7 linked regions of the Canis lupus familiaris genome follow. The protein of the gene in region 1 purifies or fractionates together with the protein of each later gene. This does not show direct contact. Links are inferred from orthologs where the notes say so. Each region holds a gene or a part of one and is shown in the gene's direction. Other genes may lie near its edges. The genes, in order: WWP1, RNF11, PTPN21, SPART, SMAD6, TXNIP and PTPN14.

Region 1 (4,263 bases):
TGGAAGATCATGTTAATCCTTCTCTTGAAAGCTCTGAAGAGCCAATGAAAGATTTTAAACAGTGAAACGACACGCTCACGTGTGTATTTTAGAATAATCGTAGTGGATATGGTGTGCGTTGGGCCCTGGTATCAATTCGGAGTGTAGAAACTAATGGAAGGGAGAGGAAGAGAAGGTACATTCCTTCAATCAGAGTTATTATTTAATCTTACAATTCTTCACGGGGCGTTGATGCTCTTCTTGGTACATAGCTTTTTCAAGAGCTTAATTAGGATGGAAAAAGAGGGAGAACTAGAGAGAGGTTTTAAAGCCGAGGAGAAATTTAGGACAGAACATAATTAAAACATCATCATGCTGAGGGGGCACAGGAGGGAATGGACAGTAACGAGGTCCTCTTTGGAGAGAAGCAGACACCCAGCCTTGGAGTCAGAAGGAAAACCAATAGGCTCGGGTGTGGATGTAGGTAATTTATGGGGCGTGGGTGAGGCGGGTGGGCCAAAATTGTAGAAACCCATGCTTGATGGCCTTTCTCATTTCTGAAGTAGAAGACCAGTCATCTGGTGAGTAATGTGGTCACCAATGACTTCTATTTGCAGGGCGGTCTTCTAAAAGCAACGCACAGAACCAACAGAACTTCTAGAGACTTAGTTAACTCGTTTTTATAAATGGGGAGAATGTACTCTTTTTCATGGCGGCACCGTGCGAATTTGCTGCACCGACACCTGTGCCTGCTCAGTACCAGTTTTATCACCGTAGCGTTATGGGGGCGAACGTTTTGGTGACTAATGAGAGTAAAGTGGAAGTCTTCTGTGGCCACCTGTCAAATGCAGGATTTACTCTTGCAGTGGGGTTCTAGGTCAGATGCTCAGGTCAAGGAGTATTTATTAAAAACAGCCTACTTTTGCAGTAAAGCACTCGAGATGAGAAGGCCAGCGCCGGGGGCCCTGACCCGAGGTCGCTCACCCGCGCTGTCCCAGTCCCGGACGGACGGGGAAGCCAGGTCAGCAGCAGCCACCTCGCGCTCAGAGGCCTCTTCCCAAATCTCAGCGGTGGCCCCGCCCCCTCCACAGGTTTGGGCCCCGCCCCCCTCCTCCCATTGGCTGGCCCTCGGCTCTCCTCGAGCGCGCTCCGCAGCCCCGGAGGAGCGGAGTTTTCCGAAAGCATCCTCGCGGGGGCGCCCTCGCTGCGCATGCTCGCGGGAAGCCCGGGTTCCGGGTCCCGGCGTGGGGGGAGGGGGGCTCTGAGGCGGCCGCGGCGCAGGCGCGCGCTCGCGGCGCGGCGCCGGTGACGCGAGCACGCGGCGCGCTCCTGAGGCGGGAGGTGTGGGGTCTGCCGGGGGCGGCGCGCGGCCGGGGTGGGGGTGGGGGGAGGGTCGGGTGTCGCCGAGCGCGGCGCGGCGAGCGGGTTCCAAGTGGCTGCAGGCGGCCTGGGCTGCCGGGGCCGACGCCTGGGTGGCTGCCGCCGCCGCCGCCGCCGCCGCCGCCGCCGCCGCCGCGCCTGCTGCGAGATGGCGATCTTGGGCGCGGAAGGGTGAGGGCGCCCCGCCGCTGGAGTGGCCGCCCGACCGCCGGGAGCCGACGGCTTTGCGCCGGGTAAGGACGCCGCGGCGGGGGGCGGGGGGCGGGGGGCGCGGGGGGGCGGGCGCGGCGGCCCCCGGGCCGGAGCCTCTGAGGGGCGGCCGCCGACCGTCCGCGCCGCGCCGGCCGCCCCCCCCGGCCCGGGGGCCCCGGAGTTTTCTGGGGTGGGGTCACGGGGCTTGCCCCGCGTTGGCCCCGGCGCAGGCCCGAGCTGAGGATCCCGGAGGAGCCCAGGGTCTCCGTGACTCTGCAGCCGCCGTCCTGAGGCTCCCTCAGCCTCCCCTCAGCGTTCCGTCCGCCTCCTCGTCCTCCCCCCGCAGCGCCCCTCCGAAGCCATCCCCGCGCGTGGACTTGCACCGCTGCCCTGACTTTCACCGCAAGACTCCCGGCCGTACAAAAAGGCGTTTTTATTTTCCTGACGTGTTTTGATCCCTCCGGGTTCTTCCCTGACTCTGCAGTCCCCCCCCCCCCCCACACACACACCCCAACACAACCCCCACCTCCACCTTTGTGTGACCTGGTAGGTCCCAGTGACCTTGCAGTTTTTACTCCTTATCTCCTCAGTGACCTGGACCTTCTCCTTTCATCTTTAAAAAAAAAAAAAAAAAAGGTTTTAATTTTGTAGTTTGTCCATTGTTTTTTTTTGTTTTGTTTTTTTGTTTTTTTGTTTTTTTTACAACCTCCGAAGGATCCTCAGTCCTTCCTTGACTCCATCGTCTGGAGTTAGTTGAGCGTCCTTTGCTTCCGTAATTACAGGGAAACCTTTCCTACCCAAGACGAGTGTCTTTTATTTTGACATTCTTACTCTTCCAGGATAAAATATTTTCCAGGGGCTTGGTGTGACTTTTTCTGCTTGGTGAGTTTTTATCTTTTTTGTGTGTGTGTAGGCTACTGTGCAAAAAAAAAAAAAAAAAGATTTTGAGTTTCGGCTTTAAAAAGCTACTGGTCAGAGTGGAAAATAATGTCCAAAGTTCTCTTTTTCTCCCCCTTTGGTGTTTTTTTTTTTTTTTTTTTAACCTGAAGTACCTGCTGTACAATGTATGCGGGTTTCTGCAAGCACTCATCCTTCTGTAGGAATCCAGTTGACCTGTCTCCTAAGGCTCTGTGGATGATACAAGCAAAATGCACCTTTAAAAAATAAAAATAAAGGCATTCTCTTACGTGACTTTGCTTTGGCTGTAAGGTAGATACTAGTTGGGACTGCAAATTATCACTTCTCGTAAACAGTTAATATTTTTTGAACTGAAAAATTCCTGGCCGAGTGTTGGGAGCTACTCACACTGAGAAGTGTAAAAAGTATGTAGAATAGTTACTTGGTATGTAGCTTATTGATGTTTTCACGTAGCTTTTCCCTTAAAATACAGAACTGTTTATAAGACATCTAACGCCAAGACTTAAAGGGCAGTGGGGTTATGTTTTTTAGAATCCTGGTATGATAGAGGATGTCACAAATAAGTTCTCTGCCTTCAGAGAGATAGTGATCTTTGCTTTTTGCCCCAGGAAGGCTGAAATTTCCTTCACTTCCTTGCACAATTATTAAGCATCTCCTGCATGATTGTGTGAGGTAGATGGAGTAATATGGAGTACAGCAGTTTCTGCCTTCCCAGAATAGTTAGGCAGGTAGGACTATCACAAATGCCTCCTTTATCTTTTAATACATCCTTACGTTTCATATAGAATTCAAATTCAGAAGAGGAAGAGCTCACATCTTACTTGGCAAGGTGAGGTAAGGAGGGTTAATCCATAGAGCTTCTGGCTTTTGAAATCTTTGTTTTGAAGGGTGACTGAGACTTTTGATAAACCAAGAAAAGTAATCCAAGCAGAGAAAAGGGACTAAGAAATTAGAGCACAGAGTTCATATGTTTGGGGAGAGGGAAACAATTATATTTGGGTGGAACATAAAGTATTTGTACTAACATAAAGGCTGATAAAACGAAGTAAAAGTTTGAACCGGTTTATGATTGCTTTTAAGGCTGGGCTAATGATCTTGGATATAATAGGTTTGAGGGGTTTTACAGATGATTTTTTGAGTTGCGAATGAAAAGCTTAAAATACTGTTTTCAGAGGATTAATTTAGCAGCAACGTGTACTGTGAATTGAAGTAGAAATCTGGAGGTAGAAAGACCTTGATTGCTGTGGTCATAGGTAATGAGGGTCTGAACTAAGGCTGGAATATTAGGAATGGAAAGGACAGAATTTGATGGTCAGAGAAAAAAATGAAGAAAGTAAAAATAACAGATTCTGACCCAGGTTGGGAAAATAATGGTACCATTTTGAACAGTATCCATGGAAGCTTTATCTTCGGCAGATGTATGTTACTTTACAGCAGTAATTATTAGCCTTTTGGTGATTGCTAATCCTTGGTGAAACTAAAAAAAATCTGGCATGGAAAATTTCCATATGCACCTGTGCTTTCTGTATATAATTTTAGGGAAGTCCATGAACTCACCTGAAGCTCACCTATGGAAGGGTCAGTAGGTTGGGCTAGGAGCAGCTCTCAGGATTACTGGAGGCTTTTTAAAACCATAGAATTTTCAAATTCTTCCATTTACTGATAACCCCTACTGTAGAGACTTACTTTATATACACTTAAATACAATATCTCTACTTTGTGTTGTGGTTTACAGTTTACCAAGAATTGGTACTGTTATTTGCTATTATATAACAGACTAGCCTAAGAGGTTAA
Region 2 (3,994 bases), on another chromosome or scaffold:
CCTTCCTTTGCACATATTGCTTCTCGGGCTCTTTGTTCACTCAACCAAGAGGGCCTACTGTCCCTTAGGCAGCACCCAGGCCGTGCACAGAGGAGGGACAGATGATTCGGCTCGATCAGGCTGTGATGGGGAGAAGCTCAGGGACGAAGGGCATGGAGAAGGCCACCAGTCCAGACTGGAGGGTTAGAGGAAACGAAGTTGAATTTAGGAAGGACAACTGGGAATAACGGTTAGCCTGATGGGGGGTAGGAGGTCTGGCGTGAAGGCGAAGCGCGCGTAGGTCGGAGAAGCAGTTCGGGTGAAGGCCTCAGCCGGAGGGAACAGTCTTCTAAGAGAACCCGAGGTACTTTAGACAGCCCGCAGTTAGATATCTGAGGGGACAATGCTGCTAATGAGATTGGGGAAGTAGATCTGTAAACCGTTTAAGAATACTCCTAACGGTTTGGGTAAGCCAGTGAAGGTCTTAAATGGGGGGTCAATTTATGTTTTAAAAAGATCGCGCAGCTGTGTGAACGGTGGCCCGGCTCACGGGCGAGCTTGGACTTTATTCTGAAGGGAGAACGGGGAAGAAGCCTCCCTAACATTTCAACCCGGGAGCGACCCGTTGGGAGGAGGGTTTGCGAGCACATCACCCGGCCGGCGGCGGGCAGGAGGCTGCCTGAGGCGCGCCCGAGGGAGCAGGGACCCGCGGGAGGGAGCCCGCAGGGCGGCTTCCGAGGCCCGGCCCCGCCGCCAGGGCCCCGGGAACAGCCGCCGGGCGGGAGGGGGCGCGGCCGCGGCCGGAGACGCCCAGGGCTCGGGCGCCGGGGGCGGGCCCGGGGCACGCACGGCGCGTGACGCACGGCCGCGGCCCGCCTCGTTCTGGCCGCCGCCGCCGCTCTGAGGCGGAGTAGGATGAGGCCCGCGGCCGCGGCTCCGGCGTCGGCGGGGGCAGCAGCCGCTGAGGCAGCAGCTGGGGCAGCCGCGGCAGCCGCGCCCCCCGCCCCTGACCCGCGTTAGGCCCGGCAGCTCGGTGGCCGCCGCCGCCCCGCGGGGGGGCGGGGTGGGGAAGGGCTCCGTCTCCCCGCCCCCCCCCCCCAGTGCCGCCTCGCAGGAGGCGCCCGCCGCGACCCCAGCGGAGCCCAGCCTTGAGCCCCCGGGCCGGGGCCTGGCATGAGCAGCCCTCCGGCGGCGCCGGGGCGCGGGGGAGCCGCCGCCTGAGCCCGGCCTGCCGCCGACCCCGCCTCGCTGGCCCGGCGCGTGCGAACGGCCCGCCGCTGCTTCTGCCTCCTCCGGATCACACCTCGTAGCCTCGGAAGATGGGGAACTGCCTCAAGTCCCCCACCTCGGATGACATCTCCCTGCTTCACGAGTCCCAGTCCGACCGCGCTAGTTTCGGCGAGGGGACGGAACCGGACCAGGAGCCGCCGCCGCCATATCAGGTAGGGGAGGCTGTGTGTTGGGGAGGAGCGGGGCGAGGCGGCCCGAGCGGGGGGTGGGGGGGCGTCGGGGCCGGAGGGGAGCGGGGGAGCCGAGGGGGGCCGAGGGGCCGGGGGGGCGCCGAGGGGCTGTCACCGCCCCGGCCTCGCCGGGCCCGGCCTGGGGGGCGGCGGCCCTAGGGCGGGGACTGAAGGTGATCGCCGCCCCTCCCGGGGTAAGGGGGACCCTTCACCTCCCATCAGGAACGGCGTGGGGACGGCCCTCTCTGTCCTTGAGTTCTGGGATCCGAGTGGTGACAGTATCCTCCTCGCTTGTGGAATTTGGGGATGACCTCGTTCCGCCTTTATGTCTAAAGCGTGGAGTCTGGTATGAGATGTGGGGGACGTTTCCTCATCGCGCCGCCGCCTGGACTGTGGGTTCTGGGTAGGTCGTTGCCCCCCACCTCCTCGTCATGTGTGGCCATCCGCTCCCCCACCCCTCCCTGTACCCTGTGCGTTAATTGGATCTGGTAGGTGCTCATTTCTCCTACATGAGAAAAGATCAAGTGGTGATTTTAGTGCTGGCGACATCAGGAGTTACTTGTTTATACATATGTGTGTGTGTATGTATTAATTTTGATCCCTCCTCCTCTCGCTCCACCCTATGACACACCTTTTAAACGCGCTGATTCAATAAAACTTGAGTATCTTGAACTTTGGAAACCTTTAAACCTGACTTGAATATCTTCTGTTACTCGTGGTTCTCACTTCGTATCAAAGACTTGCTCCTAAACAGTTTCATCGCTTTTTGTACAGCAATCCGTCCTATATATGTTTACAGTTAATAAAAAAGCTAAGATCTCTTGAACTCCAAATAGATAATGTAGATCTTATTTAGAATATATAAAAACCTTTTCTCTACTTTTCAATTTTGAATGATATTGGTTAGCTTTTTTTCCAGAGGGGTTTAAATAGTTAAATGCCTTAATTTTTTAGCTGAAGGGGGTTTAGTTTTCTAACCGGGCAGTCTCCTTTGTTGTTTCATGTGGTGACATCATTATCTAGTGTTATTCTTCTCTCATTCCTGTGTAAACCAGTGTCTCATCACACCAGAAAAACCTGATCACATATCCTGGTTTTGTGAATAAAACCCTCAGGGTCCTTTCATATATATATGCCAATAAAGTCCAGTCTTAATCGTGGCATACAGAAGCCTCCATGGTTTATCTTTCACATTCTGTATTTCAGGCCTGCCAAATACATCAGTTCACATCTCTGCCTTTGCTCCAGTTGCTCCCTCTGCTAGGATCCCTTCCCCCAAGGTCAGCAAGGTGAACATCTAATCCTCTTTAAAGACTCAGCTCTCCTGTCACCACTCTCCCAGGTCTCTACCTTCCCCTCCCTCCCTCTGTGAATCCATCCCTCAGTTGTTTGTGTAGCACCCTCCACCCCCCCACCCCCATTCCATAAGCAGCACAAACAACACTTGGGGTGTTAATATCTTTGTTTTGTTAGATGTAGGTTTCATCCTTATGGCATTTCCTTCTGCCTCCAGTGTAAGCTGCTGGCAGGTAGGGACCCTTATGTCACCTGCTATGCTGTTACATCCCCAGCATCTGGCTCATAGTAAATATTCAGTAACTTGTGGGATAAGTGAAGACTAAGCTCTTAAGAACAAGGACTGTATCCTCAATGTTTCATGAAATTACTGGCACTTAAAAAAAAAAAAGAAATTACTGGCACTTAAGCATTTAAATGTTGAATGAATTAATGAATTTGAATTCAGTACCTTGTGTGGTAAGTTTACACACCTGTTTCTTCCAGAGAGTGTCACAGGGAAGTCTTTTCATCTTTTTGAATCTTTGAAGCAAGTAAATTGTTTATATTTCACTTTTCATTTCCCTCAAATACTATAGGACAATGTGCTTATTTTAGCTTCCTGAGCAAATTTTTGTAGAGGTATGATTTTTATTTCAAAATCTCCTTCCATACTCCCTAATCCCTTTCCAGGCAAATTAAATATCCTGAGTTCATGGCCCTTTTTCTCTTACCCGCACGGTAATACAGTGTTAAGGATAACTTAATTTTTAGGAATTGTATTTGGTTTTTCCAGGAGAACTAGGTGATAGATTTTTTTTTAAATCATGAAGGAACATGTTATTTGTGACAGCAGGAGTTTTTGTGGTTGCCCTTTTTTGAAGTGAGTGACCCAGATACTGATGCAAATTTCGTATCAATTGAAATAAAACTTTAATGGGAGCATAAAGAAACTTTTGTAGAAAAAGCTTTGTCCCCTCCCAAAGGAAATAAGATTTTTAGGAATGGTTAATTTAAATGATCTGAGAAACACCAGTCCAAACACCAGTCCAAGAAATGATTTATATTTTCAGTGGACAGAAGTAACATTTTTTCTTCAAAAATAGTATATAATTAAAAGAGCTACAAGAATAGCATATTTCTTGAAAGAATAGTCTCAGCTGCAATAGGATCTTTAAAAATCTTTAAAGCTGATTATAGAGGAACACAGTATTTTTCTGTAGTGGGTGGTTAAAAGATGTCCTTTTTGTGTTGCACGGTGTAGGCTAATGCTAAGAGCT
Region 3 (3,500 bases), on another chromosome or scaffold:
ACGCGTCACATATTAAGGTGAGAGGAGCGAGCAGGGCTACAACAGGCTGTGAAGTTGTGAGTTCAGCTACAGGAATGATGAGAACTGTATCCACGTCTATGTTCTAAAAACAGGCTAGTTGGAACCATTGGGACAAATTATGTTATTAAGCTGGGAAATCCATACACCTGGCCGGGTGGGAGGTGTTTTACCAATAGAGCCAAAGCCGCATTCGCCCTCCCACGTGCTAAGCCCTGTGCCCCCCACACTGCTGCCAGGAGTCAGGGAGCACTCTTTGGCCTGACCTGAGGACCTTAGGACTTCGTTCTTCTAAATCTAGAGATTTCTTTCTGGCCCATCGATTATCTCCAGAGTGGCAGAATGGCTAGTTTTTCGTGATCACATACCTGCATTGATTCTTATGTGGCAAAGATGTCTGGGTATTTTGGTTTTTGTTTTGAAATTATTTGTATATATAATGATATATTAATTATTAATATATTATTAACATATTACAATATATAATATGTTAATAATATATATAAGTATATATTTATATTTATAGAGCACACGTGAGAGAGAGCACACACAAACGTGCGTGAGCAGAGAAGAGCAGAGAGAGGATCTTTTCTTTTTTTCTTTTTTTTCTTTTTTTTTAATATTTTTTATTTTTTATTTTTTTTTGAGAGAGAGGATCTTGAGCAGGCTCCATGCTCAGCACAGAGCCTCGACTTGGGGATCAGCTTCACAACTCTGAGATCATGACCTGAGTCAGAACCAAGAGTCTGAGGCTTAATGTACTTAGCCTCCCAGGAGCCCTGTCTGGGTGTTTTTAATGGTGGTCACCAAACCTTTTCCGCGTGTCGTCTGTTCTCTTTGCATCATTCTTGTCATCACTAATTTTTTTTTTTTAAGATTTTATTTATTCATTCATTTATTTATTTACTTACTTATTTAAACATGAGTGGGGGTGAGGGTAGAGGGAGAAGCAGGCTACTGGCTGAGCAGGGAGCCTGACTTGAGGCTGGATCGGGACTCTGGGATTGTGACCTGAGCCGAAGGCAGCCGCTAAACTGAGCCACCCAGGTAGCCTTCCTGTGATCATGTTTTGTTTTGTTTTGTTTTTTTAAAGATTTTATTTATTGATTCATGAGACACAGAGAGAGAGGCAGAGACACAGGCAGAGGGAGAAGCAGGCTCCATGCCGGGAGCCTGACGTGGGACTCGATCCTGGGTCTCCAGGATCACACCCTGAGCTGAAGGCAGCGCTAAACCACTGAGCCATCCTGGCTGTCCTGGGATCATGTTTCAATATCGTTTTTGTTCTTTGTGGAAGCGGTGCCGCTTTTTCCCGAGGGGCAGTGTGATGCCATTGAACTGGGGTCATGTTACACCCATTAAAATGGGAAAAAGTGATGATTCCCACCTGGTAGGTGAGGGAAACCAGGGGCTCTCTCTTCTGCATCATTGTACATTTTGCATGTGCTGCTTGGAGATACAGTCCTTTTATTTTGAGAAGGAGAAGCTTCCTTGTTGGGAGTGAATGAGGAAGTATCCATGGTCAGGTATCTATCTTCTTGCCCACATCTTATTTCATTTGCAAGTGGTATCTGATGAGCGCAGTTTCACACTCGCTTTCAGAGACCTGGCAGTCTGCCTGTGGATGCCAGTACCCTTCATGGTCTTTGGGAATCTGCATGTGCTTTTTAATATGGGTATAGGGGCACCTGGCGGGGGCTCAGTTGTTGATCATGTCATGATCCTGGGGTCCTGGGATCGAGTCCCGCATCGGGCTCCTTCTGCCTGTGTCTCTGCCTCTCTCTGTGTCTCTCATGAGTAAATAATATCTTAAAAAAAAAATAATTTGGGTATAATTTATTTAAAAACCAAGCATTTCTGTGGAATAACTCATCCAGCCTCTTGTGACTGGATGGGTGAGAACTGAATCAAGTTGTCCTGTGTGGGTATTGCAGAAGCTACCGAGGTCAGCTGAAGAGCATGGAAGATGGCCAAGCCTCAGAGCTCCTAGATCTGTTACCTGTCAGCATGGGGCTCCCTGTGCTTTCCTCTGAATAAAGCGCTGACACCTCCCCTGGGGTGGCCCCAGACCCCCACCCACACCCTGTTACTCACTGTGGTGCTGGTAGCACCGAGGGAGCCCCTCTCAGTGAGATTCCAGCCGGTGGCCCTGAATGAAAGTATGGGCAGAATAACCCAGGCACTGTGGTCACCAACATGGGGCGGGGGGGGGGGGGGGGGGGCGGTGGGCTTTAACCCAATCTCCTGGCCGTAGATCCAGCAATGGCTCTGTTCCCTTAGACTGTCCTCAAGGGGATGCAGCCTCAGGTGGAAGCTTAGTGTCATTCTGGAGGGTGACCTTGACTTAGAAGTTCAGAGGGGAGACCACTTTCAGTAGGAGTATTTTTTTCTGCCCCAGAAATCTGGCATTTAACCTCGGTTTTGGCTGGATTGTTACTACTTTGCCTACTGTGTTTAGTACTTCATGAAGGGAAACTGTGTTTGAAATTTAGGATACTGTTATGGTGATACTGTTTTTCTAAGAAGAACCGTAACAGCAGCACTAACAACTGTGTATGGAAAACCTATTGATGTGCAAGCACCTTATACACTGACTAATTTAGTCCTGCCAACCACCCTATGAGGTACAGGACATTTTTATCTTACACATGTGAATAGAGAGAGAGGTTAAGCAAATTGCCCCAGGTCATGTAGATATGTGAATTTAGAGTCCATACATTTATAATCCGGTAGTAATAGGAATTGTATTAACAAGGAAAAAGAATAAGAGAAATCTTTATTCTGAATAACTCATTTTTTAGTACCACCATAAATGAATGTGCATACATGTATGCATATCTACATAAATACACATTGATTAATTTTTAAAGATTTATTTATTTAGAGAGAAAGAGGTTGAGAATCCTACGCAGACTCCCCACTGAGCTGCGTGCCCAGCATGGGGCTCAATCATACGACCCTAAGATTATGACCTGAGCTGAAATCTAGGGTCGGCTGCTTAATTAACTGAGCTACCTGGGCGCCCCACATATTAATTTCTTTAAAAAATCTTTTCTAATTTCAGGTCTCTGTCAGTGGAATTGAGTGGGATTATATTGCCACGCAGGGACCGTTACAGAATACCTGTCAGGATTTTTGGCAGATGGTGTGGGAACAGGGAGTGGCCATTATAGCAATGGTGACTGCAGAGGAGGTAAGGACTCATCTCTCTTCCTTGATTTGGTCAGCCTGAGAGGAGCAGTTAATGTTGGTCACGGGGAGTCCTGGCCTTGAAGGAAGAAGGCAGAGTGGGGTTGCAGTTCTGTGCTGCAGACACACTGCGTGATGGGGCCCCCGTGGCTGGATGCAGTGCTGCGTCCTGACCGTGCCTGCCTTTAACAGGAGGGTGGAAGGGAGAAGAGCTTCAGGTATTGGCCACGACTTGGTTCCCGTCACAACACCGTCACCTATGGGAGGTTTAAGATCACAACCCGGTTCCGCAC
Region 4 (3,500 bases), on another chromosome or scaffold:
CTGTGTTTCATAAATATAAAAGGTGAAAAAACATAAAGTAACTGCTTAAAACTTACCTATATAGAATATTGGTTTGAAAGGCTAGAATTACATTTTAAGAAGGCAACTGCCAAACATTTTAGATGAAGAATTTAGTAAGCTGATTTGGGAAGAAGTGGAGGATCTGTAACAATAGACTGATTAGAGGGCAGCCCCAGTGGCGCAGCGGTTTAGCGCCGCCTGCGACCCAGGGCGTGATCCTGGAGACCCTGGATTGAGTCTCACGTCGAGCTCTCTCCATGGAGCCTGCTTCTCCCTCTGCCTGTGTCTCTGCCTCTCTCTCTCTGCATCTCTATGAATAAATAAATAAATAAATCTTTTAAAAAAATAGACTGATTAGAGCCCTCCATTGGGTTAGATTTGAGTGAAATCATTTTAAGTCATCTGCCAACTTCTTATTTATTCAGCAAACATTCATTGCCTTCTATATCTCAGCATTAAATGTATGCATATAATGTGAATATGGATAAAAGAAATCTATATCTGGCACTACACATGCCCTTTAATTTCTTTTTTTTTAATTTTTTTTATTTATTTATGATAGTCACAGAGAGAGAGAGAGAGAGGCAGAGACACAGGCAGAGGGAGAAGCAGGCTCCATGCCCCGGGAGCCCAATGTGGGATTCAATCCTGGGTCTCCAAGATCGCGCCCTGGGCCAAAGGCAGGCGCCAAACCGCTGCGCCACCCAGGGATCCCTACACATGCCCTTTAAAAGATCTTAATAGCTACCAATAAAATATTACATGTTCTCATCTTCTATTGTAGTATCTTTGGTTTTACTGTATTATTTCTCTTACATGGTGATAGCTGCTTTATAATTTGCATCCTAATTATTTCTCTTCATCAGTCCTGTGACTTTTCATTTATCTAATTTCCATTTATTATTAGTCATCAGTGGACTCTGTCCCTCTGGTTTGTTTCATTGCAGGAGTATATAGTCTACTTGAGCTTTCCTTTGTTTCATTGTCGTTTATGATTTCTCAGTCTTCTTCAAATTCAGCTGATTTTTTACTTCCTAAATCTTTCAACCTGTAAGTTAACTCTAAAAACCCATATGTATTTTTTTAATAGAGGTCTTCAATCCCTTTTTGTTATGGGAACTCCTGACTGGATGGTATTTGTCTGGGTTTGAGACGTGGTCCTCCTCCAGGGAGGCTAGTGTTTGAGCTAGAGGTAGACATGTTGACTAAAATAGGAAGAAAAACAACAGTTCTCCTAATCAGTTATCACTTGGCACTTTATTTTTCATTGTTAGCATTTTTAAATAAATAGGATTTTCACATGATTGCTGAATGCCTGCTCACTCATAGGCCAGAGTAATTATGTAAAAACCATGCTACAGACCTTGGAAGAATATACTTAGGTATTTTATATGTATGGCTTTAAAAGCTTGTTGTTTCAGGGTTTAGCCAAAAAAGAAATATTTAATATTGTAAGCTCTCCAAGGCAGGGTAACAGTTCCTCTTAGAGGAAACTATTCTTCTATATTTTTTCTTGCTTTTCCCATCTCCTTCTGACTTCTCCTTTTCCCACATGTGCACAGGACCTTTTCACTAGAGAAGTCTATGCTATCCTGCTTTCTCTGTCACAATCTCATTTTTCATGCATGCTGTAAGAGAAGCATTGAAGGGCTGGAAACTACCATCAAGAAAAATGGCTAATCTAGGCTTCCCAGTTTTCTTCTTATATTTTTTCTTCTCATGCGTTCTTTGAGTATTCTTATGTCTGTCATTCACGTCCATGTTACAAGCTAAAAGGTGCTGAGATTGTGGAGTTTGGGTTTAGGATTGAGGGAGGACCAGGACCCCCTGCCTTATGCCTTTCATCCAAAGCAAGCAAGCAAGAGTTCTGCCTTGGTGTTTGAGATTTAGGTTTACTGGTTTCCAATTTGCATTATTTGTGTCTAAACCCTTTAACACTTCATAGAGGAAAAGTGGTTCCTGGACTAAAGCAAAAAGAAAAAGGATACCTGGGTCCTCAAGCTAGATACCATGTTACTGGCATCAAAACCCAAAATTAGTCCTTACTAGTAACATTGTGGTAAGTAGCATGTAGATAGATACCTATAAGTTGTAGTAGAAGCATAGAGTAATTCAGAACTGTGTTGAGTGATCTGTGACCTAAGTTCTTAAAGATGAATTTACTTAGATATATAATCCAGTTAGAAAATTAGAATTGTAAAGTTGAAAGTTTATGGCATGTTTGAGATATGAACAGTGAATTCCTTGTTTTTGTTTTCCTGTTGGTTTATTAAAGGGTTTACAGGTATAATCAGCTCTAATATTGTACACTTTAAAATTTTCCTATAAAAAGGTGCTTCCTGGGTGAGCTGGGGTTTGGTCAAAGGTGCTGAATTTACTGGCAAAGCAATCCAGAAAGGCGCTTCTAAACTCCGTGAACGGATTCAACCAGAAGAAAAACCAGTGGAAGTTAGTCCAGCTGTGACCAGGGGACTTTATATAGCAAAGCAGGCTACAGGAGGAGCAGCGAAAGTCAGTCAGTTCCTGGGTAAAGTAACTTTGGAGGACTGCTTTTTTTCAGTTAAATTAAAAACGGCTTCTTAATCTAGGTTAATCTGAATGTTCATTTAGATGGTTTAACCTTAAAAGTAAAGGATTAGGACAAAACAGTTTCACTTTGCTACTCATAATAGGGTTTGTAGCAACATCAACCTATCTGAGAGCCTTAGAAACATTTCACGTACTTGGCACACATTAACTGATTCAGAAACAAGATCCCTGCCTAGGTGATTGTTGTTTGCATATTATTTTGAGAAACATTGGTTAAAGGGTTATTTTGGTGTATCAGAGAGAGGAGTGCTGTGTCTTTCAAAAGGAATGGCTCTGAATATATTTGCTATCCTTGAATAGGATACATTCTTTTAAGAACAGCTCACTGCATAGTAGTTGGGGTCAAGTGGGAGGGATGTTTTATTTGAACTACGTTGATTCAGTGATTCTGGTGTCAGCCTTCCCAAGCAATATGCTACTAATTCATTGTCCTTTGAGAATCGTAAATCTAAAGTTTGTATTTTAAGGTAGTCCGATCACTCCTTAGTGAATTATCATTAGAGGAAGATTATCTTTTTGGTATTCAGTATTCTTTGAATCAGGTTTTGGTTTGTTTACTTTTATATAGACTTAAATACCTTATTACTATTTCAGTGAGATATTTGTTGAAATGGAGAAAACATAGAAATGGACATAACTGGAAAATATGAAAGGTGGACCTTGCCAAAAAGAAAATTATATTTTAGAAGCAAGGTTTTAATCACTAGGCTCTGCAAACATATCTTTAAACCAAATAAGAGCCTTTGTTTAAAAACTAGCCAGCCATGGTTCTCATCCTTATATAGAAATGATAAGTTATGCAATAAAATAAGTTTGCTCATGTAAGATGCTCATGTAAGAATTTTTATAAGTAAGAGTGGTAAAATCAAGGGAAGAATACATTTTTTTCT
Region 5 (4,155 bases), on another chromosome or scaffold:
GGCTGCAGGTAAAAACTTAGCAAATGGTTCTGAGTCCTTCCTGCACACACCGCCCTTCCCCCCGCGCTCACGCGGACTTCGCGCCCCGCGGGGTCCTCGCAGGGCCGCACAGTGCAAGGGCCAGCCCCACACGTGGGCACCCGGGGGCGACCCGCGCGCCCGCGCCCCAGCGGCCCCCGCCGGGGCCCGGCGCCCAGCCCCGGGCCAATGAGAGTAGCGGAATTTCTTTCATTCAGTGCGGGGCCGGGCTGCTGCCCGGAAAGGGGCGGGGCGCCGCGCCGGGGGCGGGGCCGCCGCGCTTCTGGGGAGAGGGCGGTGCCCGCCCCGCGGCCGGACCAATCGGCGCCGCGCCCGGGGGGGGAGGGGGGGACCAGGCCTTTTTTCCCTCCGCGCGGGACCAATCCCGACTTTACAAGCTTGAACTTTTGCCACCCTCGGACAAGCGAGCGCGCCCGAGGAGGTACCCCGCCGCGCCGGCTCCAGGGGCAGGAGCGGCCTTAACCCTTCCCGCGCCGGGCGGCCGCTGCCGCCGCCGCGCCCCCCAGCCCCCCCAGGGCCGGGTGGGGCGGGACCCTGCCCTGCCCCCAACTCACTCGTATTTCCCTGGGGGGAGATGTCGCGGGGCGGGGGCGGGGGCGGGGGCGGGGGAAGCACGACCCCTATCCACATCCCGCTCGGGGGTGCAGAGAATCAATCTGGGGAAAGGGGAGGAGGAAGCGCCCGGCCTCGAGGGGGCCCGGGACGGCTGGCGGTCCGCCTAGCTCCGAGGGAGGGCCGGGGCGACCGCGAGGAGCCGGAGAGGAGACATTCCCCGCCTCTTACCCCACCCCCTGCAACTCCCTACCCCGGGCAAGCCCGGTGCCCCCGTGCGCCCAGCGCCCCGCGTCGCCCCCGTGGCCCGGCGCAGCGACCCCCGACTGCGCAGGGGGGTGCGGAGACCTCGTGCCATCCCGGAGGATCCCGCTACCCCAACAAATCAGCCTCCCCCCCTTCTCCCCAGGGACTCCAGCCGGGAAGGCACTCACGCACACCCTTTTTTTTTTTTTTTTTTTTTTTAAATTAGCCTTCCCGGGGATGGGGGGTTTGCACCAACTCTAAAGCGCAATGCGTGTTTGCAAGTTTGCGCACACGCCAGGGAGAGGCGAAGCGCCGCGTTTGCATCCAAGCCTCAGTGGGTCCACGGAGCCCTCGCGCCGCTTGCCCGTGGTTTGTGTAACTCGCGCGCGCGCGCGTGTGTGTGTGTGTGTGTGCGCGCGCGCGGGCGTGTGCGGGTGCTCGCTCGTATCCGTGCCCGCGGCGCAACGCGGGCCCCACAGCGGGCCGTGGGCGCTGTCAGGCTCGGGGCGGGGGTGCCGGGGCGAGCGTGGGGCGGGAGCCCGGGCTCGGCCCGCCCCGGGAGCCGGCCCCTCGGAGCCTCGGGCCCTGCAATGGGACGTGTTCTCCTTTAAGAGTTAAGAAACTTGAAACCTTGTTTGCGCAACAATCAGCGCCGCGGAGCCGCCAAAGTGTCTAGACTGGCATATGATGGGAGGCAGCCAATGACTCCGCGGCGCTCCTCCGGGGGCCCTCAGTGTGCGTTTGAGGAGAACAAAAAAGAGAGAGAGCCGAGCGGGGGAGCGAGCGAGAGAGCCGAGCCGAGAGAAAGAGCCGCCGGGCGCTGCCTCGCCAGACCTCGCAGGGACCGCGGGGCCACCGGGAGGCACTTTTTGCGGAGGGGGGAGGGGGCCGACCTCTGCAGCCGCGGCGCCCCGGGCGTCCGAGCGCAGCGTGGGGCGGGCTGCGACCTCTGCCTCGGTGGATTGCATTTTTAATTAAGGATCCCCAACAGCTCTTTGGGATTTTTACAGTCTCCACTCATGTGTTGACAACCCGCGTTCAGGAGAAACTTGCTCCAAGTGCATCTAGCGCCTGGGACCTGAGACGGAGTTGGCTTTCCGTGCATGCAATTCCAGGATTTTGGTTTTTGTTTGGGGTTTCTTTTTTCTTTCTTTTTCTTTTCTTTTCCTTTTTTCTCCCCCCCCCCCCCTTCCTTTTTGCAGGGAGTAAGAAGGAAGCGGAGGGTATCAGCAAGCCTGCCTTTCGGCTCCTGCAGGAAGAGCCCATGTAGTTAAGCGCTTGGGTTTCCAAGGCAGGGCTGCCCCGACGCCTCGGGGGGGTTCGGCGCGGGCGCTTTGTGCTCATGGACCAGCCGCGCAACTTCTGAAGGCTCGCCGGCCCATGCGGGGTCTTTCCGGGGCGCGGCGCCGCCTGCAGTCCCCCCTCCAGCGCCGGGGCTGGAGTTGCTGAGCAGCCGGGCCGCCGGGGTCCATGTAGCCGCGGGCCCAGCGCGGACTGCGGCTCGGCGCGCGCGCGTCCCCCGCCGTCCCGGCCCGGCGAGCTCCCTCATGTTGCAGCCCTGCGGCGCCCCTTCGACGACAGGCTGTGCGCGACCTGCACGGCGCCCGGCGGCGGAGCTTCATGTGGGGCTGCGGCCCGCGCAGCCGGCGCCTCGCTGACCGAACGGACCACCGGTAACCGGAGACCGCCTGCCCCCCACCCCCGGCGCCAAAGGATATCGTATGTTCAGGTCCAAACGCTCGGGGCTGGTGCGGCGACTTTGGCGAAGTCGTGTGGTCCCCGACCGGGAGGAAGGCGGCGGCGGCGGCGGCGGCGGCGGCGGCGGCGGCGGCGAGGATGGGAGCTCGGGCAGCCGCGCTGAGCCGGCCCCGCGGGCACGAGAAGGCGCGGGCGGCGGCCGCTGCGAGGTCCGCCCGGTAGCCCCGCGGCGGCCCCGGGACGCGGCGGGACAGCGAGGCGCCCAGGGCGCGGGGAGGCGCCGGCGCGCAGGGGGGCCCCCGAGGCCCCTGTCCGAGCCGGGGGCCGGCGCCGGGGGCTCCCCGCGGGACGTGGCGGAGCCGGGAGGCCCGGGCTGGCTGCCCGAGAGCGACTGCGAGACGGTGACCTGCTGCCTCTTCTCGGAGCGGGACGCCGCGGGCGCGCCGCGGGACGCCGCCGAGCCCCCGCCCGGGGCGGCCCCGGAGGCGGCGGGCGGCGGGCGGAGCCGCGAAGCCCGCTCGCGGCTGCTGCTGCTCGAGCAGGAGCTCAAGACGGTCACGTACTCGCTGCTGAAGCGGCTCAAGGAGCGCTCGCTGGACACGCTGCTGGAGGCGGTGGAGTCCCGCGGCGGCGTGCCGGGCGGCTGCGTGCTGGTGCCGCGCGCCGACCTCCGCCTGGGCGGCCAGCCCGCGCCGCCGCAGCTGCTGCTCGGCCGCCTCTTCCGCTGGCCCGACCTGCAGCACGCCGTGGAGCTGAAGCCCCTGTGCGGCTGCCACAGCTTCGCCGCCGCCGCCGACGGCCCCACCGTGTGCTGCAACCCCTACCACTTCAGCCGGCTCTGCGGGCCAGGTGAGCGCGCGCGCCCGCGGGGGGGCTCCCCTCCGCGCCCCTCGCCGCGGGGAGCCCTCCGCTGCGGGACCCCGCGGGGCTGGCCGAGCTGCGGCTGCACCCCTCTGCCCCACCCCCGCCCTCCACCCGCGCGGGCTGGGCTCCCGGAGCGCGGGGGCCCGGCGCCCACCGTGGGAAGCGCGTCTCCGGCACCTTCCCGAGGCTCCTGCAAACCTAACAGGGTCCGCGTTGGCGTCCCTCCGCGGCCTCGGGGGTCTCCTGTAGGCCGTGGAGGAGGAGGGCAGGCCCGGGAGAAGCCGCACACGAGTGTCATCCAACCGCGCGCCCCCCACCCCACACCCCACACCCCACGCCCGCCAGGTTTACCCCCAGCCTGTGCCCAGGCCTGTAGCATTTGGTACACCTATGCTCCTACCTATGCTGTACCTTCCTATATCCAGGTAGATACAAGTTGTGAAATTGGGCGTAGACAGTTCATGGCTAGAGTCAGAAGTGTCCATAAATTGCCACACTGGTTCCTTTGTATAGTTTGGAGCAATGCTCTCTCCGAGTGGAGACCACCTTCTTGCCCTGGTTGCTCCCAGCATCCCTTGGGTGTCAAATGTCAGCCCCCCACTCCCCCCCCCCCCTCCTCCCCATCATTGTCAGTTCTGTGTCCAGTCTTTCTGGAGTTGAGGGTCCTGGAGGACTGTCCCGAGGTGGAGGAGGGGAGGAAGCCAGGTATTTTATTTACCTCTGAGAACTGCCTCCCTTCTTTGTTCTCTCCCTGGG
Region 6 (4,230 bases), on another chromosome or scaffold:
TAAAAATCTCCTGATACTTCAACACAGACAGGAGAGGCCCAAGAATCAAAAAAAAATAAAAATAAAAATAAAAAAAAAAGGGTGCGTCCATGTGTGCCTTTATCTCTGCAAGTTTGTTTGTTTTTGCATTTATGAGTAATTTCTCAGGAGTCAGGTCCTTAAGGCATCTCATGCCAGGTTGGGGGGAGGGGGGAATCTGACAAATGACAATAAAGAGTGATCAGTCAGGGTCTCTTTTAGCTTGAATACAGTGATCCTTTTGTCTTCTTTCCTCACTGGGATTTCTAAAATAAAGGGCTTAGAAAAACACTTTTAAAAGATACGGAAACTCTTCCTTCAAACAGGAATGCAGCCATCTCTTTACTGACACTTTGATCATATAAACAAGAGAACTTTTAACTCGGCTGTGAGGAGTGTGGGCTACGGATTTAGAGATGCGCCTCTGATTTGGTGAGTTGCAGAGGGGATGAAGACAAGGAAGAGTGCAAGCAGCTGAGGAGGAAAGTGAAACGAGGGAAGCATCTTGTTTCAAGTACATACCTTACTAAAAGAGTAATATATTGGTAACTGGGGGAATAGAAACAAAGTGTTCCCCCAACTTTGCAGGTAGAAACTGAAGAGATGAGGGGGAAAGGAACAGGATGTGAACACGCCCTGATTCCGTTCCAGGGAGAACAGAGCGAACGGAGAGAGAGGGTACAGGGGCTTCCAGGTTCGGGGGCGCCGGAAAGGGAGCGCGAAAGCCGAGCAGCGCCCCGGACCGCTGCCCACCCACGACGGAGAAGAGCTTTACAATTTGTGACAAGTTCCCCTTTCTGTCACGGTATTTAGGGGTTTGGATAGAGACCCGGGGGCAAGAGAAAGACAAAGGGGCTCTTCCTCAACAGTCACACCAAAGCTCCCTGGCCTCTGCCCCAATTCTGAAGTATTCTTGGAGTTAAGGGATTATTTTTCACCGGACTTGCGACTTGTGAGCCGGAAATAAACGGTCGCCTCTAAATTTATTGCACTGGCTGAGGTTAGGCACGAAATTCCCACATAAGCACATTTTCTTTTCGCTTCAAACGCTGCTCCCACCCCAGAAGCATCTGCACCCGCCCCCCGACGGCCACCCCCCGTGATAAATGCTAGGGTCCGCGAGGGCCCGCTCCCTCCGGGCTTCCCCTGGGCGTCCTCGGGCGGAGGGAGGCGGCCCCGCAGCCCCTCCGCTCCCTCCTCCCGGCGAGGCTGCCGTGCACAACAACCATTTTCCCCGCCAGGAGCACACCGTGTCCACGCGCCGCTGCGGCCTCGCTGATTGGTTGGGCTCCTGGTAAACAAGGGGCGGGCAGCCAATGGGAGGGCTGTGCACGAGGGCAGCACGAGCCTCAGGGCTAGCGCTCGCGTGGCCGGGCGAGCCCGGGCGACTATATAAAGCAGTTTCCGGCTGCTCCCCGCAACTCTCCTTCCGTCTCCTCTGGCGGGGTGGGCCGTTCGGGCTCTCCTAGAGTCGGGGCGCTCCTCCAGCTGTCGGAGAAAAGAACAGAAAGCTGATTTTTTTTTTTTTTCCCCCGGGGATCCTTCGGCATCACCCACAGCTTACATTTTTTTCCAAAATCTTTTTGAAATCTTAGCGGAGAGTTGAAGAGTGAAATAATTTTTTTGCAGAGCATTTTTGGATTTGGAGTTTTGTTTTTTCTCTCCCCCCCGTTTATAACTGTCAAGGCAGCCCAGCCAATCATGGTGATGTTCAAGAAAATCAAGTCTTTTGAGGTGGTCTTTAACGACCCTGAAAAGGTGTATGGCAGCGGGGAGAAAGTGGCCGGCCGGGTGGTCGTGGAGGTGTGCGAAGTGACTCGAGTTAAAGCTGTCAGGATCCTGGCTTGCGGAGTGGCCAAAGTCCTGTGGATGCAGGGATCCCAACAGTGCAAACAGACCTCTGAATACCTGCGCTTCGAAGACACGCTTCTCCTGGAAGACCAGCCAACAGGTGAGTGGCCCCGTTGTTTGTCGGGAGGGTGAAAGCTGATTTGAGAATAGAGTTGAAACGAATGCTTGCAGCTTATGCTGAATATTTCAAGCTGCTAAGGTTGAGTAGCTTGACTTGTATGTTGTTTCCTTTTTTAGTTTTAACTTGCAGACTCCTAAAAAAAGGGGGGGGGTGATTTGTACAGTTTCTTACAGTGTTCTGTTCTGAAGGTGATCCTGAGGTATGCTGCCTTAACTATTTAAAGGTTTTCTGTGTGCATAAGTTGCATATTCTTCGCTCGTTTCCGGTTTGAGAGGGTAGTAGCTTCACTGCCCTGGTTGAGCCTTTCATCATTGCAAGGCTTTGAAACTTTTTGCCCAACGAAATGCATCAGGATCTCTCAAGAACAGAAGGGGGTGAAAATAGGGGACCTGCAATAGACTTGCATGCTGCCCAGGAATTCCTTATCACACAGATGCATTTGAAGTGAAACAAGAAACCTGATGGGCTATTCTTTCTTCTTTCTTCTCAGGTGAGAATGAGATGGTGATCATGAGACCTGGAAACAAATACGAGTACAAGTTCGGCTTTGAGCTTCCTCAGGGGTAGGTGTCTACTAAATGCATCTTTGGACTTTCTTATCTCTAAAATTCGCCACCTTTGATCACCTGTTCTTGGAGAACAGTTTTAGATTGCTTCTTTTTTCTTGACACAGGCCTTTGGGAACATCTTTCAAAGGAAAATATGGGTGTGTAGACTACTGGGTGAAGGCTTTTCTTGATCGCCCCAGCCAGCCAACTCAAGAGACAAAGAAATTCTTTGAAGTGATGGATTTAGTGGATGTCAACACTCCTGATTTAATGGTGAGGTTCATTTAAAAATTATGTTTTCTTGGGTTTCGGGGATGGTAAGTCGTAAGTCAAGTGTCTTAGGCATTAGACTGATGTACCTCAGGGGATCCAGTCCTAAATGGATTACCAAGGTGGGAGGGAAAGTTGCCTATTCTAGGTAAGGAGTAGAAAGAAAAAAGAGAAGGATCTCTAGAAAGTCTCAAAATGTCTTTTTACCCCTATTTAACACAGGCTCCTGTGTCTGCTAAAAAGGAGAAGAAAGTTTCCTGCATGTTTATTCCTGATGGACAAGTGTCTGTCTCTGCCCGAATTGACAGAAAAGGATTTTGTGAAGGTAAAAACTTAATTAAAAAGGTAGTCTGATAAAACAGGAACTGTGGGTTTGGGAGTGAGGGCAGGCTATAGGGGTAGAAGTCCTTAATTGTATTAAGCGTCAGCTAATAAGTTTTTGTCTTTATCATTGTTAGGTGATGAAATTTCCATCCATGCTGACTTTGAAAATACATGTTCGCGCATCATGGTTCCCAAAGCTGCCATAGTAGCACGCCACACTTACCTTGCCAATGGTCAAACCAAAGTGCTGACACAGAAGTTGTCATCTGTCAGAGGCAATCACATCATTTCAGGAACCTGTGCATCGTGGCGTGGCAAGAGCCTTCGGGTGCAAAAGATCAGGCCTTCTATCCTGGGCTGCAACATCCTTCGAGTTGAATACTCCTTATTGGTGAGTGAATGGAGTCCAAGAAATTGTTCATCTGTCAAAATAGTCATTTCTCCAAACCTCTAGTCTAACTAACTGTCATTTTTCCTTTCTAGATCTATGTTAGTGTTCCTGGCTCCAAGAAGGTCATCCTTGATCTGCCCCTGGTAATCGGTAGCAGATCAGGTCTGAGCAGTCGGACATCGAGCATGGCCAGTCGAACCAGCTCTGAAATGAGTTGGATAGATCTCAATATTCCCGATACCCCAGAAGGTGAGCCAGACCTAATGTTTTTTCTTCCTTTTTGACCTGCTTGGGTTTGTGAAATTGTGACGGTCAGGCATTTCTTGGCCAAACTTCTTATGCCTATGTTTTCTCTAGCTCCTCCTTGCTATATGGATATCATTCCTGAAGATCACCGATTGGAGAGCCCCACTACTCCTCTACTAGATGACACAGATGGTTCCCAAGACAGCCCTATTTTTATGTATGCTCCTGAGTTCAAGTTCATGCCACCACCGACTTACACAGAGGTGATCATTGCCATTTTACAAATTGTCCTCTAAGCCTCTTACAGGAAGTTGAATGGGAAGGACTGCTAAACTGGGTGGTTGTTTTAGTTCTTACCCAAACTAAAATAATCGTTTCTTTTGTTTCTCTTCCCCCCACTCCAGGTGGATCCCTCCATCCTCAACAACAATGTGCAGTGAACTTGTGGAAGAAAAGAAGCA
Region 7 (3,500 bases), on another chromosome or scaffold:
ATTGGTAAATGGATTTTCAGCACGTCCTGGCCCAGGCTCCTTTACCACAACTTGAGAACCTGTGAATCCAAGCGTTCTGCTTTGCTGTTTCCCCTGCTGATCTGATGTTTATTGATGCCTGCATGGTCCCATAGCCTCACATTGGTCATTTTCATCCTCTCCTCTTGTTAACCTATACTCAACAAAACCCTGTATCCAAACCCATGGCACTGACTCCCTACATAGAGCTTCATGCACCATCACAGAGATGCAAGGGAGTTTCCACTGTGTGTCCCCACCCCCCCTTCATACGAACAATAATGAATAACTGGTTTCATTTCTTAATTGTAGCTCAGGAACATCATTACCCATTCCTACTTTGTTTTCCCATTGTTTTGTTCTGTTTTTCCAAATTAAATATACTCAGGAGCTCAGGGACTACTACCCTTAGCTGGTGCCTTGACCCCAGAGAAGGACTAGGAGGTTCTTCAGTGAGCCACTGTGTGGATCAAGATGGTGACACTGGCAGTGACTCTGAAGGTTGAGATGGTTCTTCATCCTTTTTTTTTTTTTTTTTTTTTTTTTTTTAATGAGGAAACTTACTCCCATGCCCTTCCCACATCTCAGATGCTCTTCTGCCCTCCCCACTGTGGGCAGCTTTTGCCTGGCTTGTTAGGAATGAGTAAGAATGGAGAAGGCTGTCCAGGCTTCTCTAGGCTAAAAAAAACAGTGAGAAAATTTAACCGAATGGGAACCGGAGGGGGACAGGGATGGTGAGAATGTCCCCTGCAGGCAGCTCTCCATAATTTTGGAGCCACTCGTCTATTTGATGGACAATTCCTGCCTGCTGTTGTGATAGCTCCTCCTTCTGGCTCCTACTGCTGCCTTGAGGCCATTTCACTGTTTGTAGCCCTGGAGCCCAAAATCGGGTGCCAGGAAGAGAAAAGTCCAAATCAGGTTTTTGAGTTACTTATTTTTTATCTCTGGTAACAAGCTGATGGGATAAGTGAGAAGGAACTAAGAGAAATTGTTTATCCCTGGGATTTCAGTATTCAGCAGGTAACTAGTAATCCTTCCAGGGAAGACTAGTTAGTTACTTTTTGCCTTAGGCCTACTTCGATCCAGATGGGAAGGAAGCAGATGGACTATTTGGAGGACCTTAGGGACATTTCTTGCAAAATGATTGCTTTTCTCAGAATGTCACAGAGGAAGTGAAATGTTCCCAATTAAAAGAGGTAGCTAATAATTTTTTCCCCTGGTTACCTAGTTTGTCTGATGGGTTGGCCTTGTCACTGAATAAAGCATCACTCAGAAAGGCCAGAGCTCCATTTTGACTGTAAGAGGTTTTGAGAGGCTGACCTCATGTAAGGTGGAAATGCCAGCCCGTCCCCCCAGTTAGAATAATCCACTAACTCTTTGTCATCTGCCAGTACCATGGCTCCATCATCACACCTCACTGGGGACTAAATTTATACATGACAGACTAAGAAAAAAAAAAAAAAAAAACCCTAAAGCCTTGAAAAGAAACCAGGGATAAGATGACCCCTTCCTCTGGGGCAGCCAAAGGAATCTACAAAGTGGTTTTACTTTTGTTAGAATCAAAATCTTAAATGCTGTCTAACTCCTCAGCTTGTATGCTTTCGGAAGTCCTGCTATTCTTCTGTCTTCCAAGACAAAACTATTTTTGGGAAATGCTCTTATTGGCTTGCTGGGTAAAAGGAGATTTCTTTTATACCTCAGTCCATTTGGGGAGGCATAAGGAATTACAATAGTAGACTTAACACCGAGAGCCTTGACTGACCAACTTCAGAATGTTGGTGCAGGTGAGGATGGAGAGGAAGTCAAAATACCACACACAAGGACCATGTGTTGACCTCCAACCCTTTCCTTATTGACTGGCCTGCTCCGCCCCCAAATCTGTATTCTCCCATAGTTGCATCACGTTCAGTAATTTCCCACCATGGTCATTGGGAGCCCTGGTGCCTACTCCTTGGGGCCTTCTGATGCGGCATGAAGGATAATGCCTCATGGATCATGTTAGACAACCACAGACTTCGGTGTTGGCAAGGCTGCTAAACCACATCAGCCCTCGTACTGGGGATGCTATCCCAGGGACCAGAGCGTCAGCATAGGATTGACATCCTCCATCTGACAGCCTCTCAGAATGGAAACTTGGGAAGATTTTTCTGTATGGGTTATGAGTCTTGATTTCTTGACAGTGCTACAAGTGGTATCTATAAGGTTTTTTTTTAATCATTTAATCTGTATAAAAGGTCCATCACTGTGATTGGATTGAATTGTTCATGAAAACTGTTTCTCTTTCCCTTGCCCTGTCTTCATTCAGCCCTTACCTTCCTGAAATGTCTTGCTTGTACACTGTTTTGCTTCCCCCGGCCCCCTTTTTGAGTGAGCTCCATGGCAGGGGGATATTTGTAGGTAGTCTTTGCTCTTACTTGTTTGTTTGTTAGTTCATTCATGCATCCATTTTTAGATAAAATCTCAGGAGTCCTGTAGGACCTGGCTACCTCAGGCACAGTGGGAATAATGGGAAGGTTGTGTTTGAATTTGCCCTCCTAATGGTGATTGTCTGCATTCCTTGGCTGGGCAGTTACAGATTTGGGGAGATTAAAACACATTCCAGCATTCTACTCGTATTATAAACAATGAGAACATGCCTTTTCTTGCCACAAGAATCTAGAGAAGCAGAAGATGGCAAGCCTGGAGGCACAGAAGCGGCCGCTCATGTTGGTAGCGTTGAATGGACTCTCAGTTGCCCGGGTCTCGGGGCGGGAAGAGAATCGAGCTGATGCCACCCGAGTTCCCATGGACGAGAGGGTAAGCGCTGGGCTTGTCAAACACGTGATTCATTCTCTGTGGTCTTGGGATTCCAGAGCTTGATCCTTGCCCAAACATGCCGGCACTAAGGTTTATTTGATGAATTAATTCTCCAATTTGAGATTAGCAAGACCTGGTGTGCATTGTATTAAATCGATTCTTTCCAGCATCTCAAGTTTCTTTGTCAAGTTGGTGTAGTGAAGCCTGCCTAACGGGACCAGCCTGAAACAAGCTGCATTGCCTTGGTCAAGTCACTTCATTTCTTTGGGCCTGTTTCTCTTTTTTGCAAGATGAGGAAGTTAAGCCATTACTGTAGTTTCTGAACTTCTATGAAATTTGCAAACCATTACCCTTTATCAGGGAGTGAATATCTTACCTAAACATTTATAGAATTCTTTTAATATACTGTCCCCTTGGTTGACTATAAAATGCGGCTGATTTATAATTTTTAGGATAACACATTGTGAGAATGTTGGTTTCGAAAAGCAGGAAGAAACTGCATGGTGGTGTTTTGGAAGTGAAGAAAGGTGTGCTCCTTTAGTTCCTAAAATTACTGTACAGTGAAACATGTAAATTTAATGGAGTGCTAGTAATATTCCTGTTTGAGATTTCTGCCAGTATATATGAAGTATTAGAAAGGTTTAAAGGCAGAAGGGACTTTAGAGGAATCATTTAAGGAATCACTA

Evidence for each region.
Region 2: the proteins of WWP1 (region 1) and RNF11 purify together in Homo sapiens (affinity purification with mass spectrometry; 3 studies listed by BioGRID, with this or other methods). This does not show direct contact. The link is inferred for Canis lupus familiaris from reciprocal best matches to the Homo sapiens genes WWP1 and RNF11.
Region 3: the proteins of WWP1 (region 1) and PTPN21 purify together in Homo sapiens (affinity purification with mass spectrometry; 3 studies listed by BioGRID). This does not show direct contact. The link is inferred for Canis lupus familiaris from reciprocal best matches to the Homo sapiens genes WWP1 and PTPN21.
Region 4: the proteins of WWP1 (region 1) and SPART purify together in Homo sapiens (affinity purification with mass spectrometry; 5 studies listed by BioGRID and IntAct, counting the BioPlex papers as one, with this or other methods). This does not show direct contact. The link is inferred for Canis lupus familiaris from reciprocal best matches to the Homo sapiens genes WWP1 and SPART.
Region 5: the proteins of WWP1 (region 1) and SMAD6 purify together in Homo sapiens (affinity purification with western blotting; 3 studies listed by BioGRID, with this or other methods). This does not show direct contact. The link is inferred for Canis lupus familiaris from reciprocal best matches to the Homo sapiens genes WWP1 and SMAD6.
Region 6: the proteins of WWP1 (region 1) and TXNIP purify together in Homo sapiens (affinity purification with mass spectrometry; 4 studies listed by BioGRID and IntAct, counting the BioPlex papers as one, with this or other methods). This does not show direct contact. The link is inferred for Canis lupus familiaris from reciprocal best matches to the Homo sapiens genes WWP1 and TXNIP.
Region 7: the proteins of WWP1 (region 1) and PTPN14 purify together in Homo sapiens (affinity purification with mass spectrometry; 3 studies listed by BioGRID). This does not show direct contact. The link is inferred for Canis lupus familiaris from reciprocal best matches to the Homo sapiens genes WWP1 and PTPN14.

Annotation. Positions count from the first base shown.
Region 1 is NC_049250.1:33,146,069-33,150,331, forward strand, and holds the start of WWP1 (NEDD4-like E3 ubiquitin-protein ligase WWP1), read left to right. Parts: upstream 1-1,463; 5' UTR 1,464-1,592; intron 1,593-4,263. UniProt on the Homo sapiens protein: E3 ubiquitin-protein ligase which accepts ubiquitin from an E2 ubiquitin-conjugating enzyme in the form of a thioester and then directly transfers the ubiquitin to targeted substrates.
Region 2 is NC_049236.1:10,032,379-10,036,372, reverse strand, and holds the start of RNF11 (RING finger protein 11), read left to right. Parts: upstream 1-1,194; 5' UTR 1,195-1,298; coding exon 1,299-1,421; intron 1,422-3,994. UniProt on the Homo sapiens protein: Essential component of a ubiquitin-editing protein complex, comprising also TNFAIP3, ITCH and TAX1BP1, that ensures the transient nature of inflammatory signaling pathways. Promotes the association of TNFAIP3 to RIPK1 after TNF stimulation.
Region 3 is NC_049229.1:60,038,125-60,041,624, reverse strand, and holds part of PTPN21 (tyrosine-protein phosphatase non-receptor type 21), read left to right. Parts: coding exon 1-17; intron 18-3,082; coding exon 3,083-3,211; intron 3,212-3,399; coding exon 3,400-3,500.
Region 4 is NC_049246.1:4,340,956-4,344,455, forward strand, and holds part of SPART (spartin), read left to right. Parts: intron 1-2,353; coding exon 2,354-2,548; intron 2,549-3,500. UniProt on the Homo sapiens protein: Lipophagy receptor that plays an important role in lipid droplet (LD) turnover in motor neurons.
Region 5 is NC_049251.1:31,364,635-31,368,789, forward strand, and holds the start of SMAD6 (mothers against decapentaplegic homolog 6), read left to right. Parts: upstream 1-1,355; 5' UTR 1,356-2,558; coding exon 2,559-3,384; intron 3,385-4,155. UniProt on the Homo sapiens protein: Transforming growth factor-beta superfamily receptors signaling occurs through the Smad family of intracellular mediators. SMAD6 is an inhibitory Smad (i-Smad) that negatively regulates signaling downstream of type I transforming growth factor-beta.
Region 6 is NC_049238.1:59,434,007-59,438,236, reverse strand, and holds the start of TXNIP (thioredoxin-interacting protein), read left to right. Parts: upstream 1-1,430; 5' UTR 1,431-1,719; coding exon 1,720-1,969; intron 1,970-2,480; coding exon 2,481-2,553; intron 2,554-2,663; coding exon 2,664-2,811; intron 2,812-3,030; coding exon 3,031-3,133; intron 3,134-3,266; coding exon 3,267-3,523; intron 3,524-3,615; coding exon 3,616-3,772; intron 3,773-3,880; coding exon 3,881-4,032; intron 4,033-4,173; coding exon 4,174-4,209; 3' UTR 4,210-4,230. UniProt on the Homo sapiens protein: May act as an oxidative stress mediator by inhibiting thioredoxin activity or by limiting its bioavailability.
Region 7 is NC_049228.1:12,220,824-12,224,323, reverse strand, and holds part of PTPN14 (tyrosine-protein phosphatase non-receptor type 14), read left to right. Parts: intron 1-2,670; coding exon 2,671-2,814; intron 2,815-3,500. UniProt on the Homo sapiens protein: Protein tyrosine phosphatase which may play a role in the regulation of lymphangiogenesis, cell-cell adhesion, cell-matrix adhesion, cell migration, cell growth and also regulates TGF-beta gene expression, thereby modulating epithelial-mesenchymal transition.